Arabidopsis thaliana: one gene and its partner. The protein of the gene in region 2 binds, or shares a complex with, the protein of the main gene of each other region. Each region holds a gene or a part of one and is shown on either strand. Other genes may lie near its edges.

Region 1 (8,042 bases), on a different chromosome or scaffold from region 2:
CGAATTTGGTGTAATTACGGTATTATACGAAACTTTCTGTGGGGACACAGGTCGTTCAACGACGGTCCATACTATTCAGTTCAAGTTTATTTGTTCGTCTTTATTAATGACTGACTTAAGTGCCATTTAAGTTTGTTATAATCATTTACTCGTATGTAATTAGATGAAATTTAGTTGGGCGTTAGATACTTATGATGAGTCCTTCACCTAACATAACATATATTGTTACTTGACGTCAACACAAGAAATCTTCTAACCTTCAAAAAGTCAAAAGAATCAAACAGCGTCAAAATACGAAAGGGGCATTTACTCTTTTCGATATCGTTAAAAGTCAGAAAAAGCGTATAAATAAATTATGAATGTAATAATAGTCAACGATACAACACACAAGAAAACCGTATAAATCCAAACTAAATTATGCCATGCAATTTACGAAATCGTCGCTAATTAAAATTTGCTTCTAAATTTTCTGCTTTAGTCACGACATTTTGATTAAAATATTTCTCATCTCAGCTTTGCGCTAGCTGTGGCAATATCAATAAAGGTCATAAAAGTAGAGTAATTATATCGGTCAGAACACAGAACAGTTTCATAATGTTGAATCCGGTATGGCATTTTGGATTATATTTTCTTATATTGGTGGCATTGATTCAACAGGTAAAACAAAAAATTTGATTCGAATTTCTCACATATAATATGTTGTTGTTGTTGTGGACAACAGAGATTTGAGTTTGCTTGGTCATATCTTGGAACAAAGTGCACATAGTTTTTAACAACAACAAAAAGAAAAAAACCAAGTACACATAGTCGAATATCCGAAATCTTTAACAATATTAAGAATGATATTAATCAAAGAAAAGATTATTACATAATTTTTGTTTGATAGGGGTTGGTATAGACGAGGTTGATGGTTATCTCCATTTTGCTCGTTATCCATACTCTCAAACGGTGTTTGAGTATCTTGAATTGGAGATACGTAATTACTTATTATAAAATGTATGCCTACCATTTTTTGTATGAATTACTAATAAATTACTTTTTTTATATAGTCTCATCTTCTTCTATCAAATAACTTTTATTTGACTCTTATTTCTGAATTCCTCGTCCTTATACTTTTATCTCTTAATTTGTTTGATAAATAATCTCGAATAACCTCGTACAAGTCTCCAAACACTTTAGATCTCAACGAAAATACAAGAAAAATGACTTATTCCTTATAAATTTCATAATCATTTAGCTAAATTCCCCATAAACCTATGAAAAATATTTATTAGAGTAAATTTCAAACACTACAAGAATACAAAGCTTTAGACAATTTTGCTACAGCAAATTCAAATATGCAGGGTTCTTTTTTTTTCATCATAATCATCTCAATCTTGCCTATTTATCTTCTGTAATTGACCTTTCTTTTAATCTTACTAGTAACCGTTAATTTTTCTATCCACCTATTTTCTTTATCTTCCGCAGTTCGAATAGTTTTCTTTGCTTCTGTATTAACTTTCTCGACGCTTTCTTAGAATCATTAGAGTAGCAGAAGAAGCTAATAATAATGCCTACTCGTTGAAGATAAACTTTAATCATCATTCATAAGCTTAAAGTTCTAGAACAAGTATGACACAATGATTCAAATAAATATATGCATATTGAATAATTTGAGCCTAAAAAATTCTAATTTTTCTTTCCAACTCCAGTCTAATTTTTTTTTGTCGACTTCTAGCAAAATACATTAGGTGTTATATCTATAATTGGTTATTCAGATAATAAAAAAATTGTAATGAGACCGTCCGTGGTAGATGGATTTCTTATCTCTTGTATACAAAACACGCACCATTTTCTTCAAGTAGGTCCACTAAAACACCGTAAAGCAGCCACTATATCTGCTGACGTGTCGGCCAATCAAAGTCTGTCACGTAAACGTGGCTGTGACAAGCCCGTGAGGTTAGCACTCAAAGGAGTCCCAGTGTTTTTCACGCGTTTGAAGGTGAGTAAATTCTGATTGGTAATCACCACCGTCCCAAATCGTACGACTTCGTTTTGTCACGTATTAACATAAAATCAAATTATAATATTTTTAGGGGTCGATTTTGTTGACCAACATTTAATACATGCTTCTCATTCCACAAACAGAAACTTCCTTTTCTTCTTCTATTTTCTGTTGTTGCTCTAACAAATCAAGCTAAGTTTAATAGTCCAACTTATTTTATAACTTTGTAAACACAAAACAAAGTTCTTACTTTGAATTAAAACAGTTATGATTGTGGTATCATTTTGGAACATGTAAACATAAACGAAAATGCAAATACAAAGAAAAACAGTTGATTTTTTTTTTTTTCAACAACAACAAAAATAAGACAATGTATGATGATTGATGACATGATGCTATCATGCTATGTCTTTTTTTGGTAAATTCTCTAAAATAAATATGATCTAAGTTAAGGTTTGGTTGGATTGTACCGGAACATTATGAGTATAAGTGAAGAGTTGTAACTTTTATTTACAATTGATAAATTGTAAATAAACTACATATCTAAGACCATCTCTATTGGGAGTATCTCATAAGAGTTTCTCACAATTAAAAAAATAAAAATAATGAAAATGAAGGAGAGAGAGTGTAGAAAGTTTCTCACTTGAGAAACTCTGAGATAGTCTCTACAACCCATCATGACAATTATCATCTTACTATTGGTTTAATTTTTTAACAAAAATATTTTTTTAATCAAATAATCAAATTATAATATAATATTAATATTTTTTTTGTTTGAAAAACTTTGTGGGTTTTTCATGGATGGAGATGCCCTAATGGCCTTAACAAGTATGGGTTATGAAAAAATAGTCGATGAATTAATGAAAAAGCTGTGAGGGTAACGAGGTTAAAACATTGTGAGTCATTTTGTACCTAATCCAAAGTACAAAGGGATACAAAAAAAATAAAACAACTTTTTTGTTAGATATTTTTAAAACATTGTAAACAAAGAAATACTTGTTTCTCTGTCTTACAAATCTGAACAAATTAAAGTACCTAATCCAATTTCTTATAAAACAAAATAAAATGAAATGATAGTGTTAACTGTTAAAACATGAAACTATTGTTTTGAATCGGATTTACCAAATATTCTAATATATCACTCTTTGACTAGAAGATAAACGCTTTTGATCAGCAGCATTAGGAAATAAATATCTCTTCTTCAGAGCTTCTCATTAAAGTCCGTATAACTAACTAAACACTCTTAGTAGAATTTACTTTTGACATTTTCCAACGTAAAAAAGATTTATGACCCAAAAAAAAAAAAAAGAGTTTGACCTTGTAATCACTTAACTTGTGTCGTCGTTCAAGTACAACGCATGTGTGAGGAAAAAAAGAATAATGTGTTTTTATAATAATAATGAAAAGCCAAAACAGACCGATCAGGTCAAAAGAAAGCCGTAAAGAAAATCCAACTTAAAATAAAAATAAAATCTCTTTTACCAAACAGATATACAGAGAGACTTCAATCAGAGGAAATAAATAAATTTCATTATTTCTCTTTCTGAATTAATAAAAAGGTTTCTTGTTGAATTGAATTTGTAGCTGTGTTTAACGTAGTAGCACTTGGGTTTTAGATAGACAACGTAACCAAAACTGTTTCATGTTCTGTCTGTATTCTCTCTTTTGCTTTTTTGGGTTTCCTCCTTCTTTCTCATCTTTGCTGCGGTGCATTTTTTTCTCGGGAAAATCCTTTCTGGGCTTTCCGGGAAAGTTTTCTTGTCAGATTCGGAAAGGTACCAAAAAAAATAAATTAATAAAAACTTACCAAACAGATTTTGTGTTTATCTCTCTCTCTATAGATTCTTTTGATCACAAATCCTTTTCGTTTTTGATCATATTTTGATTGAGAACAAAACAATCTTCAAAGTCTCAACCTTTAAGTTTGATTGATCTTTTTTTGGTAAGTAAATCTTCTGTCGTAGATTCGATATTTTCTGATCTTCTCTTTTCGAATTCTTCAATCTTCAACGATCCCAATCTTCTTCTTCTGGAAATCTATTTTGCTTCTTCTTCAAATTTTCTGGGGAAAAAATCAAATTCTTGAGTTAATTAGACTCCGATTTTGTTGAATCGAGAAACGATGAAAGCATCGGGTTCATTAGATAGCTGGAGAGAATATTTCCGACGGCGAGGAGATTCCGATATATTCGGGATCATCGATCATGCGATCATGGTGGCTGCTACTGATTGTCCTAACAAATTCAAATCCAGAAGAGACAAAATCGCCGAGCTTTTATTCTCCTGTAGAGTGAATCGTTGCGTCGGATGCGACCATCTTGAATTGTCTGTTCCCGGAGACGACGAGGCTAACCGTGGAACCACCGGAAATGGTGGTGGTGGTACGGCGGTTGATGAAGATTATGAGGTTGCTGGTGGTAGTAAAGAGAGCAAAGCTAATAGTAGCAGAGGGGATAATAATCAGATTGTTAGCAATTATACATTTGATGAAGCTGAGGCTTTGAGTGATGAGATTGAAGAGTTTTCTGTGGTTTCTAAGGAGGTTGCTAGGATCAAAGAGATCTTGCTCAACAAAGAAGATGAGGTTTGATTCTCAAGTTCTTGAAATTTCATCAATGTGAAGATTTTTTTTTTGTGTTTTCTGATTGGTTCTTTTTTGTATTCTCTTGCAGCCAAACTCGGTGTTACTCGATTCTTTAAGACATCTTAAGTTGATGTCTTTGAATGTGGATATTCTTAAGGTTGGTTATCTTGGTGGATAGTGTATGAAGTTGTTGTTGATGATCCTTGAGATTCTTAAGGTTTGCGGTTATTCTCGCAGAGTACTGAGATTGGAAAGGCTGTTAATGGCCTCAGGAAACATTCTTCTGATAAGATTCGACAACTCGCTAAGACTCTTATCGCGTATGAGTTTTTGATCTTTCACAAGTTTGATTGACATTTGCTATGCTTTTGCACTTTTGAATCTCACATTTGAGTTTTTGATATGTTTATGCAGAGAATGGAAGGAGTTGGTGGATCAATGGGTGAATACCACAAAGGAAATCACTGGTAATTGCGCTTTCTCTGTCTCGCTTTTCGATCTTTTATGACTGGCTTCGTGTCTTACCGTTTGGTTTCTTGAATTAGATCCATAGTCTTTGGTTCTAATTTTGTGTTTAAAACAGGTGCTGAAGGTACACCAGAGTCTGCAAACCCGTCTGTCCTTGATGAAGAAGAGGCGTTTCCATCGCTTCCATATGATGTTGATATCTTTACACCTGAACCAAACGGATTTGAAATCTCACACTTCTTTGATTCCTTGGACTTTGATGGAAGTGAGTTTTAAAACTATGTCTTGTTTGTTTGAGAACATGTTCTTAGCTACGTGTTGATTGATTTTCTTGGGGATGTTTGTTTCAGATCCTCGTAACTCTGAAGAACACAACACAAGCCGAGAGCATGAAAGAAGGCCACAAAATATCGCCAAGAGAAAACCTGAGGGAACACAAATGAGGATACAAGATGCTCCTTTTAGATCTATTAAGCCATCATCAGCTACTGATTTTGATGGGACTAGAAGACCTGTAAAGCAAAGTACAGAGCAAAGGATGAAGAACGAAACGGTATCTGTTCACAAGTCTGAAAAACCCATGATCCAAAGGAAACCGGTTGTTACAGAACAGAAGCGGAAAGCTCCTGGACCTCAACAAGAAGTGAGTGTGGAGACAAAGCTCTTGTCTAATATCCTATTCTTGGACGTAGAATTGATGGTGTTTTTGCTCTTGTCCCTTGCAGAAACTTAAAGGTCTTGATGCAGACGCAAAGTTTGAGTTTGCAAAGAGGAAACTTCAAGAAAGCTACCAGCATCACGAGAATGGTTCGTTTCATTTCCTTTCTTTTGTTTCGAGTTTTTTGTTACATTCTTGAAAACAAAAGAACTTAAAAATGTTTGTGATCTTGCCACAGCCAAGAAGCAGCGAACGATACAAGTACTTGAGATGATCCCAAAGCAAGGTAGTGCTCAGAAACCGCAACTCAAGAGACCTGGAATGAGCAACAGGAATTGGGCTAATGGGAGAAAATAGTTTCTGCTTTGTTCAAATGGTGAATAATTCTCGGCAAAAGATATTACTCCATACTTACCACACATATCTCGCAATCTCTGGTGCAATAAAGGTAAACAGAGTCTAGTTCCACAAAGCTGGAGACAGAAACAAGCAGAGGAGAAGGAACAGAATCCAACATAACTTTACTTTGAACAAACTGTTTACTCCTCTGTTTTGTTCTGTCTTGGATTCACCAATTGCAGCAAGATAGGGATACCAATTATTGTTTCTTTTATGTGTTCTTTACTACATTCTTGAGACTTTCGGTACAGTCCCGGTTTAGTCGGGTTATGTTCGGTTTTGGGACAAGGAGAGAGGTCCCTTTTACATATATATCATATAAAAATAGTAAAAGAGAGGGTAGAAAAGCTCATTCGAAATTGACCGGCTCTTCACCTAACTTTGTATAGTAATGTGAAATGATTTGGGACACAATATAGAGATGATGACACTTTTTTCCAAATAAATAAATATTTATATAATGATATCCAATTGTTATGAATGAATGTGATTGTGACCGAATGTTGTCATTTCTTATTACTTATGTATATAAAATAAGATGGCATTGGAAAGGCTTAAGGAAGGTGGGTGGATAAGAAAAGAGGAGAAGGTAGTGGGGGGTGGGAGATAACGTGGATGGATAGGAATGTTGTTGCAGTGTGGTCTTTGTGCGTGTTGGTATTTTTTATTCAATGTTGTTATTATCTCGGCGTTACGCGTTCACGCATTTCACCACATGAACCACGTGGACTTCTACAACTTCTATTAATCTTTCACTCCATTTCTATTGAAAGAAAAACAGTTGGATAGAGATAAATCTAGTTTTATGGTCACGATTTTATTTCGTGAAAAGGAAAATGCACTTTTTAGTTTGATTAAATAAGTACACCCAAACACTTTTGGACAAAAACAAACGTAATGATTTTTGGCGTGATGGTAAATTCGTATGGATGTGTTGGTTATTTTTGTAAACTTTAGCATGTGAGAGAAAAAAAAAGTTGAGCATGTGAAAATACAAAAAATATTGTTGTCTGTGTACAAAAACTGAAATGACATTTAACATTTAGTAAGTTTCAAAATTTAAAACATTAACTCATAATCTCAAAACTTTAAACTAAACAAAAAACTGCAATTCCAAAAGCTCTAGAACTTAAATCTTACTATTGATGCAGCGAAATGTCTTTAGTTTTTTTTTTTTTAACAAAATTATGAGATCTTTTTTTGTTGTTGGAAATATCACTACAAAATGTCTAATTCATACTATTTTAAGAATATAAAAAATCTCATTTATAATCAATATGCAATGAATAAATTGACCTATATCCATTACATACTTTGTTAGATTACACTTCATTTTTGATGTGAAACATTCTAGCAGGATTAATGACTCAATAAAAATAGAAAAATATGCACTTAATTTAATTAATGATATTTGGTTCCCAGTCGTTGGAATTGGGAAGACTTGAAAAGTAGTGAAGCATGTGAAAAAATGCTAATATATAGATCCGAGAGATTGTGACTATTTCATTAATTGACCCTAAAGAAGAAGGCATCTTTTTTCCATGCAGAGAATCGACATGTTTTTGGAGAGAAGTTGACATGGACAAAAAAACAACAATAGCATCAGTTCTGCTGCCGACACAAAGTATTTAGGTTACCATTTTATAATTTATGTGGAGTTTTAGATAGATAGACAGCTAATCGTTACAAAATTCCTTGCGTCGCAATCAACGGTGAGATAAAGAAATAAGAGTTGACAAATGAAATAAGGGAAAATAGTTGAGTATCGGTTCTAAACAAAAAAAAATCCATCATTTAGAACGTTCATCAAATTTTCATGGTTTTGAAAATTGATTATACTATATAATCGAATAACTCAACTTGTTTAATTTGAGTATTGTTGAGTCTTATTTGATTTACGATTGGACAAAGTCTGGAAACATTATCAGAATTATGCGCAATTTAAACCT
Region 2 (7,120 bases):
TAAGTGACATCGGATCTGTTGTAAGCATGGTTGATCGGATAGCTGGTTCAGCACCAGGAAACGGTTCAAGAGCTTCCGTTGGTGAAGACTTGGTTGCAATGACTAAGTGCCGTCTCCAAGCAAGAAACTTCATGACCCAAGAGGGAATGATGGCGACTAAGAAAATGAAGCGTCACACAACCGCAATGCCACTAAGCGTTGCTTCACTGGGAGGAAGTGTTGGTGATAACTACAAGCAGTTTGCTGGTTCAGAAACATCCGATCTAGAATCTACTGCGACTTCGGATGGCAAGAAGGCAAGAACTGAGGTATGATACTCAGTTAGACTTCCCCTAGCTATATTTGAATATTGACACACACTCACACACACACACACACACGTAACAAAGAAAATTTGGAAGCACAAGGTTTCGATATTCTTTTTTTTTTGAAGACTCAATCTTGAACTGCAGACCGAGCATGCCCTTTTGGAGGAAATAAAGGAAATAAACCAGCGGCTGATAGATACAGTTGTTGAGATAAGTGATGATGAAGATGCTGCTGATCCTAGTGAGGTTGCAATATCAAGCATAGGGTGTGAAGGAACAACAGTTAGATTCTCGTTTATAGCTGTTTCTCTCAGCCCAGCCTTGAAGGCTCATCTCTCATCAACACAAATGGTAAACATGGTCATCTCGTTAACATTAACGTTTTGTGAAACAAAATATTTCATTTATCCTTTTTTATAATATATGCTTTGTGCTTCTATTACAGTCTCCTATTCAACCATTGCGTCTGCTGGTTCCTTGTAGCTACCCCAATGGCTCTCCATCTCTTCTAGATAAACTCCCGGTCGAAACCAGGTACAAGCAAATCCTTCAGTCTCAAGTAAATAGAACCATAGATTTTCCGTACCGAGTCGAGCAAACTTCTACGATACAGTTAAAATCTTCACAAGAATCATCTACTAGAAACCCTTTATTAGAAACTGCGTTATCTTCTTACCGTAACACGGTCTGGTTTCTTGAACAGCAAAGAAAACGAGGACCTGTCGTCCAAAGCTATGGCAAGGTTCAACATATTGCTAAGAAGTTTGTCACAGCCGATGTCGCTCAAAGACATAGCCAAGACATGGGACGCCTGTGCTCGGGCAGTGATCTGTGAGTACGCACAGCAATTTGGCGGTGGAACTTTCAGCTCAAAATACGGCACTTGGGAGAAATATGTAGCAGCTTCCTGAATCTGACGGATCTCTCTCGTCTTCAATAGCAGCTCTGTGATTCACTTGCAGGTTCATGTCAAAACTAAAGAAAAAAAGCCAAAAAGTTTTTTCCTCACTTTTTGTTGTATAGTATAAGTTGTTTTCCCACACACGTGATTGGGATTTTTTGTTATCTGTTTGCAAAAGCTTATGCTATATTATTGAATATATTTAAATAATATTATTTTAACTTTATTGTATGTATTTTGTGAATCTTGTTAGTATATTCGTCATTTTCTTCTAATTCTGAAGTGCAATTACCCCTTTTTTGGGGTCTTGCTGAATGTTGTATTTTGAGATTTGTTGTAATACGCATTTTGAGATCGTTCAGAAGAGTTTCAACTTCTTTACTCTGTTCAGTTGTCACAATAAAATGGCTGTTTGAAACATTTTTTTTTTTTTGTATATACCAAATGGCTAACTTTTTTATTGTAATTATTGATGATTTATCATCATAAAGTCATCAAGTTAGAAGATACAAGGAGTGATCAGTGTGGTGTGTAATTGTCTATACAAATTAGTACATGAACGAGATTTATTTAGTTAATGACTATAATTAACATTTTGGTCACACAAATAGCCGGAGATTTCACTGGTTTTTCTACAAGTCTCTTTACTCGATTTTTAGCCTTTACTGTGTGAAATAGAAAACTTAAAAAAACTCCAAAAAACTTATTATTTGCAGAAGAGACTTGGGCCTGATAAGTACTTATTATTGGGTCATTGGGCCTCGCTTAATAACCTGATATTGTAATGTTGTTGAAGCCTTTTAATCCTTGTATTTAGCTCTCTCTTGTTTGTTTCTCTATAAAATCAAAAGATGATTAAAACAAAAACAATCATCTCTAATTCTTCTCCTTAACCCTAATTGCTACGTTTCACTTATTAAAAGAAAGATTGAAACGTAAGAACGTTTGGAGAAAAACCAAATCCAAACGGACCGTTCTAAGTCTCGGAGATTCATCGCCAAAAGGTCCTTATTTTGAGTCACCTATCTCATTACGTGTCATAGTAAACCCATGGATTCGTCGATAGCAAAACCTTTTGCATAAGAAACTAGTTTTATGGATTGATGATACTTGTGTACCTCTAATTTTAGGTTTTTGTATTTTTTTTTACACAGTTTCTGATGATGAATGAATCTCGCTTTTTAATTATTTTTCTTGGCTAGCAACACTAGATAGTAGATACAATGGAAAATGAAAATGGAGATGATTGGCGGGAGGAGGTTTTCCAAAAGGTAACTCATAAGTCATAATCATCATAATAATAAAACTCCTTTCTTAAATCATCATCGGGATCATTCATTGTGGTGTGTAATTGTTTATACAGCTTAGATCCATGAGAGAGCGTTATCTACCACATGTGACTGATGTTTACCAGAGACTTGCAGACAAGTTGAACCATGTAAGATGTAGTTACTGTCAACTATTAACTCTCTGCCTTAAGTTGTATAGATGTAGTAATACTAGTTTGTTTGTTTTTTTCAGGAGGAATCGCTTCCGCAGCAACAAAGATCAAAGCACTTTGACAAGTTCCAAAGCATGAAGACAAACATAGAGCAATTGATCCAAGTCCTATCTCTTCGAAAGAGAAATATCATGCCGATATTAAAGGATTGTAGATGGGACTATTATGAGAAACGGATTATATATTTCTTAATTACGCTAAGAACCGGCTGGGAAGACAGTACAGCAAAGGCAGCTTCAAGATCAGTCTCATAATAATCAAGGAAATGCATTGTAGATATTTTGTCTCTCTCTCTTTTTATGTTGGTCTTCTCTCTTCTGATGTGTTTTGAACTCTCATCCTCAATGTTGTTGACTCCGGTGCTCTGTTTCTACCAGGCTCCTCCTATCAAGTTATGATCGAAAAATGAATAAAGACCCTTTTTTTTTTTGTAAATGTTAATTTCTCGGAGATTAGGTGTGTTTTTGGTGGGTGCTTTAGTGTTCCGTCAACTAGTAGGGTAGGGTTTGGTTTCTTATTGAATTCATGCAGAATTCTTTTACCCATCAACAGAGATTAAAGCAATTTGAGAGATTGAAGGCAATGTTGGAGCGAAGAATGATACAATTCCTATCTGTTTCAAAGAAGCAATGTCATGCCTTACTTGAAAGATTACTACGACAACCAGATTATTCCTTTGTTACTAGCAGGATCATCTCTCTGTTACTAGATGATATCACCATGATGAGTAATCGTATGTATGATTATATTGCTTTTCTTTGTAGATCAAATCCATCAAAGAGACCTCAATGAAATCTACCAGAGAGTAGCAGCCAAGTTGCAGCAAGTAAGTTACAGTTTTCATTCTTCCTAGGAAGTTAGTTTGCACGTGTACGTCCTCTGGAACAGTACTAAGTACTTTATGAAGAGTTTTACAAATTCAATGCAAGATCAGTTCATTGTTACAAATGAAAGTCCTACAACTTAGGATTCTTGTTACCCATTTAACAAAGTAAAAGGTTCGTCAGACTCTTATACTTACAGATAGTTCACTAGAAGTTAACCTTCTGACAGATATATTCCTTCCCAAACCTACAGAGGTTGTAAACTTTTAACGTTCATCTATATGTTTGTTTCTTTTCTACTGAATACGTTCCGTTTTCTCTCTAGGAGGATTCTCTTTCGCATCAGAAACAAAGATCAGATCAGTTTGAGAAATTGAAACGAGGCAAGACAGTGTTGGAGGGAATGCTACGTTTCCTATCTCTTTCAAAGAGCAATATCAAACCTGACTTGAAGGATAGTATGGATTATCGCAAGAACAACATTATGAATTTCTTAAATATGCAGAGTCTGAGGAAGACAGTACAGAAACTGCAGCTTACGAAATCTGAGATTCAGCCTATGCAGCAACCACTATCTCAGACAGTTCAAGATCAGTCTCATGATGACCAAACAACTCTGCAGATGCAATCAATGAGCATGCAGGGTGCTGGGTCAAGGGTACAACAGATCAGGCAAGGTGTACTTCAATCCCTTGAAATTGGCACTCCAGGGATCTCTGCCTCTCCTCTCCTTCCGGAGCTTACCAGTCCTGATGGAAATATTATAAATCCTTTGACAAGTACTTGTGGAAAATCGAGTGCTACTGAGCTGCCTATTGAACGCCTTATTAGAGCCGTAAGTAACGTTACTAATTTTGAAGGGTATATTGCAACAGGGCAGTGTCATTGCTGCCATCCCTCATTTGCCGTGGAAACATTGTTCTGATCTTGATGTTTGCTTTCTGTTGTTTTCAGATGAAATCCATCTCACCACAAGCGCTTTCGTCTGCAGTATGTGATATTAGATCTGTTGTAAGCATGGTTGATAGGATTGCTGGTTCAGTACCAGGCAAAGGTTCAAGAGCTTCATTTGGTGTGGACTTGGTTGCAATGACTAAGTGCCATCTCCAAGAAAGAAACTTCATGACGCAAGATGGCGACCATGAAAAGGAAGCGTCAGACAACCCCAATGCCATCAAGTGTTGCTTCATTGGGAGGAAAGCGTTGGTAATAGCTACAAGCATTTTGCTGGTTTGGTAACATCAGATATGGAATCTACTGTGACTTGTGGTGGCAAGAAGCCAAGAACTGAGGTATGGTTTTCAGTTACACTTCCCTTAGGTATATCTGAAAATTGACACACACACAACAGATAAAATTTGGAAGCACAATGTTTTGTGTGCTCTAGTGTAGACTGTGTAGTGTCCTGAGCTCAAGATCTTTCCGATTACCTCAAGAGTAAGATCACTCCGGCAGGCTTAGCGTCATGGTTATGTGTGTAAACAGAGCATTTTTTGAGAAAAGAGTAAAAAGTGATAAAAGCTGTAAAGAAGTTTTGACTGGAACAGAGACTTAGGCCAAAAGCAAAGACTGGAGAGACAGACTCATTACAATGACCCCACACACTCACATACACACCTGACACCACCACTCAACTCTATTTTCCAATTGTTAACTAACAAAAATTAACTAGCCTAATCACATACAAAGACAAAATCAAGAAAACATGGTGGAAGAACCCTAAAACCTCATCTCTCACCATCAATTCTGATATAAAGAACGAAGAAGAAGCTGAAAGAGAAAACATAAAACAGAACTTAGAGATTTTTCTAAGTAGGTTTGAGATTCTGAAACATTGAATCCCATTTGATATCTTCAAAATAAGTATCTTGAGCGTAAAGTTTCTCATCCTTGAAACTGTAATCGAAAACCATGGGACTTGAGAAGCTATCGATTCTACAAGGAGTCCCATTGGTCAACAACAACCTCTCTTGCTTCTCCAATCCACCATTTCCATTGCTCGGCATCACAGATCTCTTGTTCCTCTTCAGGAATCCACCTCTCCACTTCCCAATCCCGTTGCTAGTCTTCTTCGGCACCAACACCAGAGCTCGAGACGACGCCGACTCTTCTTCACGGCGGATCCAGGCGCGTACGTGATCGGATAAACATTTCCTGGTTTTCTTAATCGCAGTCACGACTCTGGAGATGGAACGAGAGGTGAGAGGAGGAGAGTTCTTGCGATCTCGACGAGCGAGTTTGAGAATCTCGAGACGGTGTTTGGCGATAGAGATTCCCATGCTCTGGAGAAATTCGTGGTCGAAGTAAGAAATGTCTTCGTGTTCGAGCTCGTTCTGAGAGAAGGAGAGGCCGTATTCGTGGATGAGAGAAGGTTCAAGGTTTGTTCTAGAGAGCCATGAAAACCACCAATCTTCCATTGAAGAAGGTTTATGTTTGTTTGTGTTTGTGTGGGAGATGATGTATATATAGAGGAAAAGTGAGTGGGGGGCTTTTTTGACTTTTGTGCAAGTAGCGGGCTTCGTCGTTAAGGTAGTTGAGACGTAAAGAGGGACTATATCTGATTAAAGTGAAAATATAAGAGGGTCAAAAGTGAAAAACACACAGAACAAAATATTGATTTAATATCAGTGGGTTATTCATTTTTTCAAATTTTATTCGAGGAAATGGGGATTACATTTGTGTAATATTACAGATAAAGTAAACCCATGCTTGTGTGAGTAATAAAAGAAAAGATGGGAGTGGAGTGGTGGGTATGTAATATGTAGAGAATATCGAGAAATTGTGTGAGAGTGTGGAGAATGGAGAGTGACCATCAATCACGGTGTGTGGGAAAGGAGCAAAACCCAGTGGGATCTTACTTTTTTTGTGTATGGGTCACTCTTGTATTTTATAACTAAAAAGTTAACACGTAGTATTATTATGTACTAATACACCAGTGTTTTGGAATCTACTTTGCTTTGGTTTTACTAAAAAACTAAACATCGCTTCGAAAATAAGACAATTAAGTGAGGGTAAATATTAGAATACACTTTTTACTATTAAAAACTGGAAATTTAAGGGATTCCTGATCATGTCATTTACATAAAACTGATACAAAATATATCATATACTCAATAATAGGAAAAAAAAAAAAATTGGAAAATATATCACAATTAATAATAGGGTATAGGCCAACTATTTCCTCCCTTATTAGTAACAACACTATGCAGTATGCACATTGGTCAGAGATGAAACTGGAGAAAATCTTCCAATTAATTTTCTTAGATTTATAGTCAGGAAAAAGTAAATTTTCCCCCAACTGTGTGTAAAAAGAATAAAAGCTATTTAGTACTAATGTTCAAAACCTACTTAAATGAGAAATTACTTTTCTTTATTTTTCTTTTGACTTATGGAAATAAATTCTTGAAAGATTATGTTTTTTTTTTCATCTTTGACCATAAAAGATACTTTTTTTGTGTGTGTGTGAAAAGATACCTATTTACATGTCTGTTGTATATATAGATGTGTGATGGGCATGAGTATAGAGAAAAATCGTAAACAGAAAATATCATAAAATGGCTATCACCAAAAAGAATTTGATAGCATT

What was found.
Region 1: AT1G15770 (region 2) and AT5G05140 share a complex: the UniProt entries of both Arabidopsis thaliana proteins name them as parts of the mediator complex.

Annotation. Positions count from the first base shown.
Region 1 is NC_003076.8:1,516,247-1,524,288, forward strand, and holds AT5G05140 (Transcription elongation factor (TFIIS) family protein), read left to right. Parts: upstream 1-3,458; 5' UTR 3,459-4,106; coding exon 4,107-4,568; intron 4,569-4,656; coding exon 4,657-4,725; intron 4,726-4,805; coding exon 4,806-4,888; intron 4,889-4,982; coding exon 4,983-5,035; intron 5,036-5,151; coding exon 5,152-5,301; intron 5,302-5,386; coding exon 5,387-5,679; intron 5,680-5,761; coding exon 5,762-5,843; intron 5,844-5,932; coding exon 5,933-6,051; 3' UTR 6,052-6,891; downstream 6,892-8,042. UniProt on the Arabidopsis thaliana protein: Component of the Mediator complex, a coactivator involved in the regulated transcription of nearly all RNA polymerase II-dependent genes.
Region 2 is NC_003070.9:5,424,545-5,431,664, reverse strand, and holds AT1G15770 (mediator of RNA polymerase II transcription subunit), read left to right. Parts: upstream 1-3,384; 5' UTR 3,385-3,449; coding exon 3,450-3,536; intron 3,537-3,859; coding exon 3,860-4,369; intron 4,370-4,488; coding exon 4,489-4,773; 3' UTR 4,774-4,957; downstream 4,958-7,120. Other genes in the region: NRB4 (mediator of RNA polymerase II transcription subunit 15a-like protein), read left to right, coding at 1-308, 453-659, 754-1,143; AT1G15772 (mediator of RNA polymerase II transcription subunit), read left to right, coding at 2,433-2,480, 2,573-2,647, 2,731-2,964; AT1G15760 (Sterile alpha motif (SAM) domain-containing protein), read right to left, coding at 5,343-5,951; AT1G15757 (Molecular chaperone Hsp40/DnaJ family protein), read left to right, coding at 7,089-7,120. UniProt on the Arabidopsis thaliana protein: Component of the Mediator complex, a coactivator involved in the regulated transcription of nearly all RNA polymerase II-dependent genes.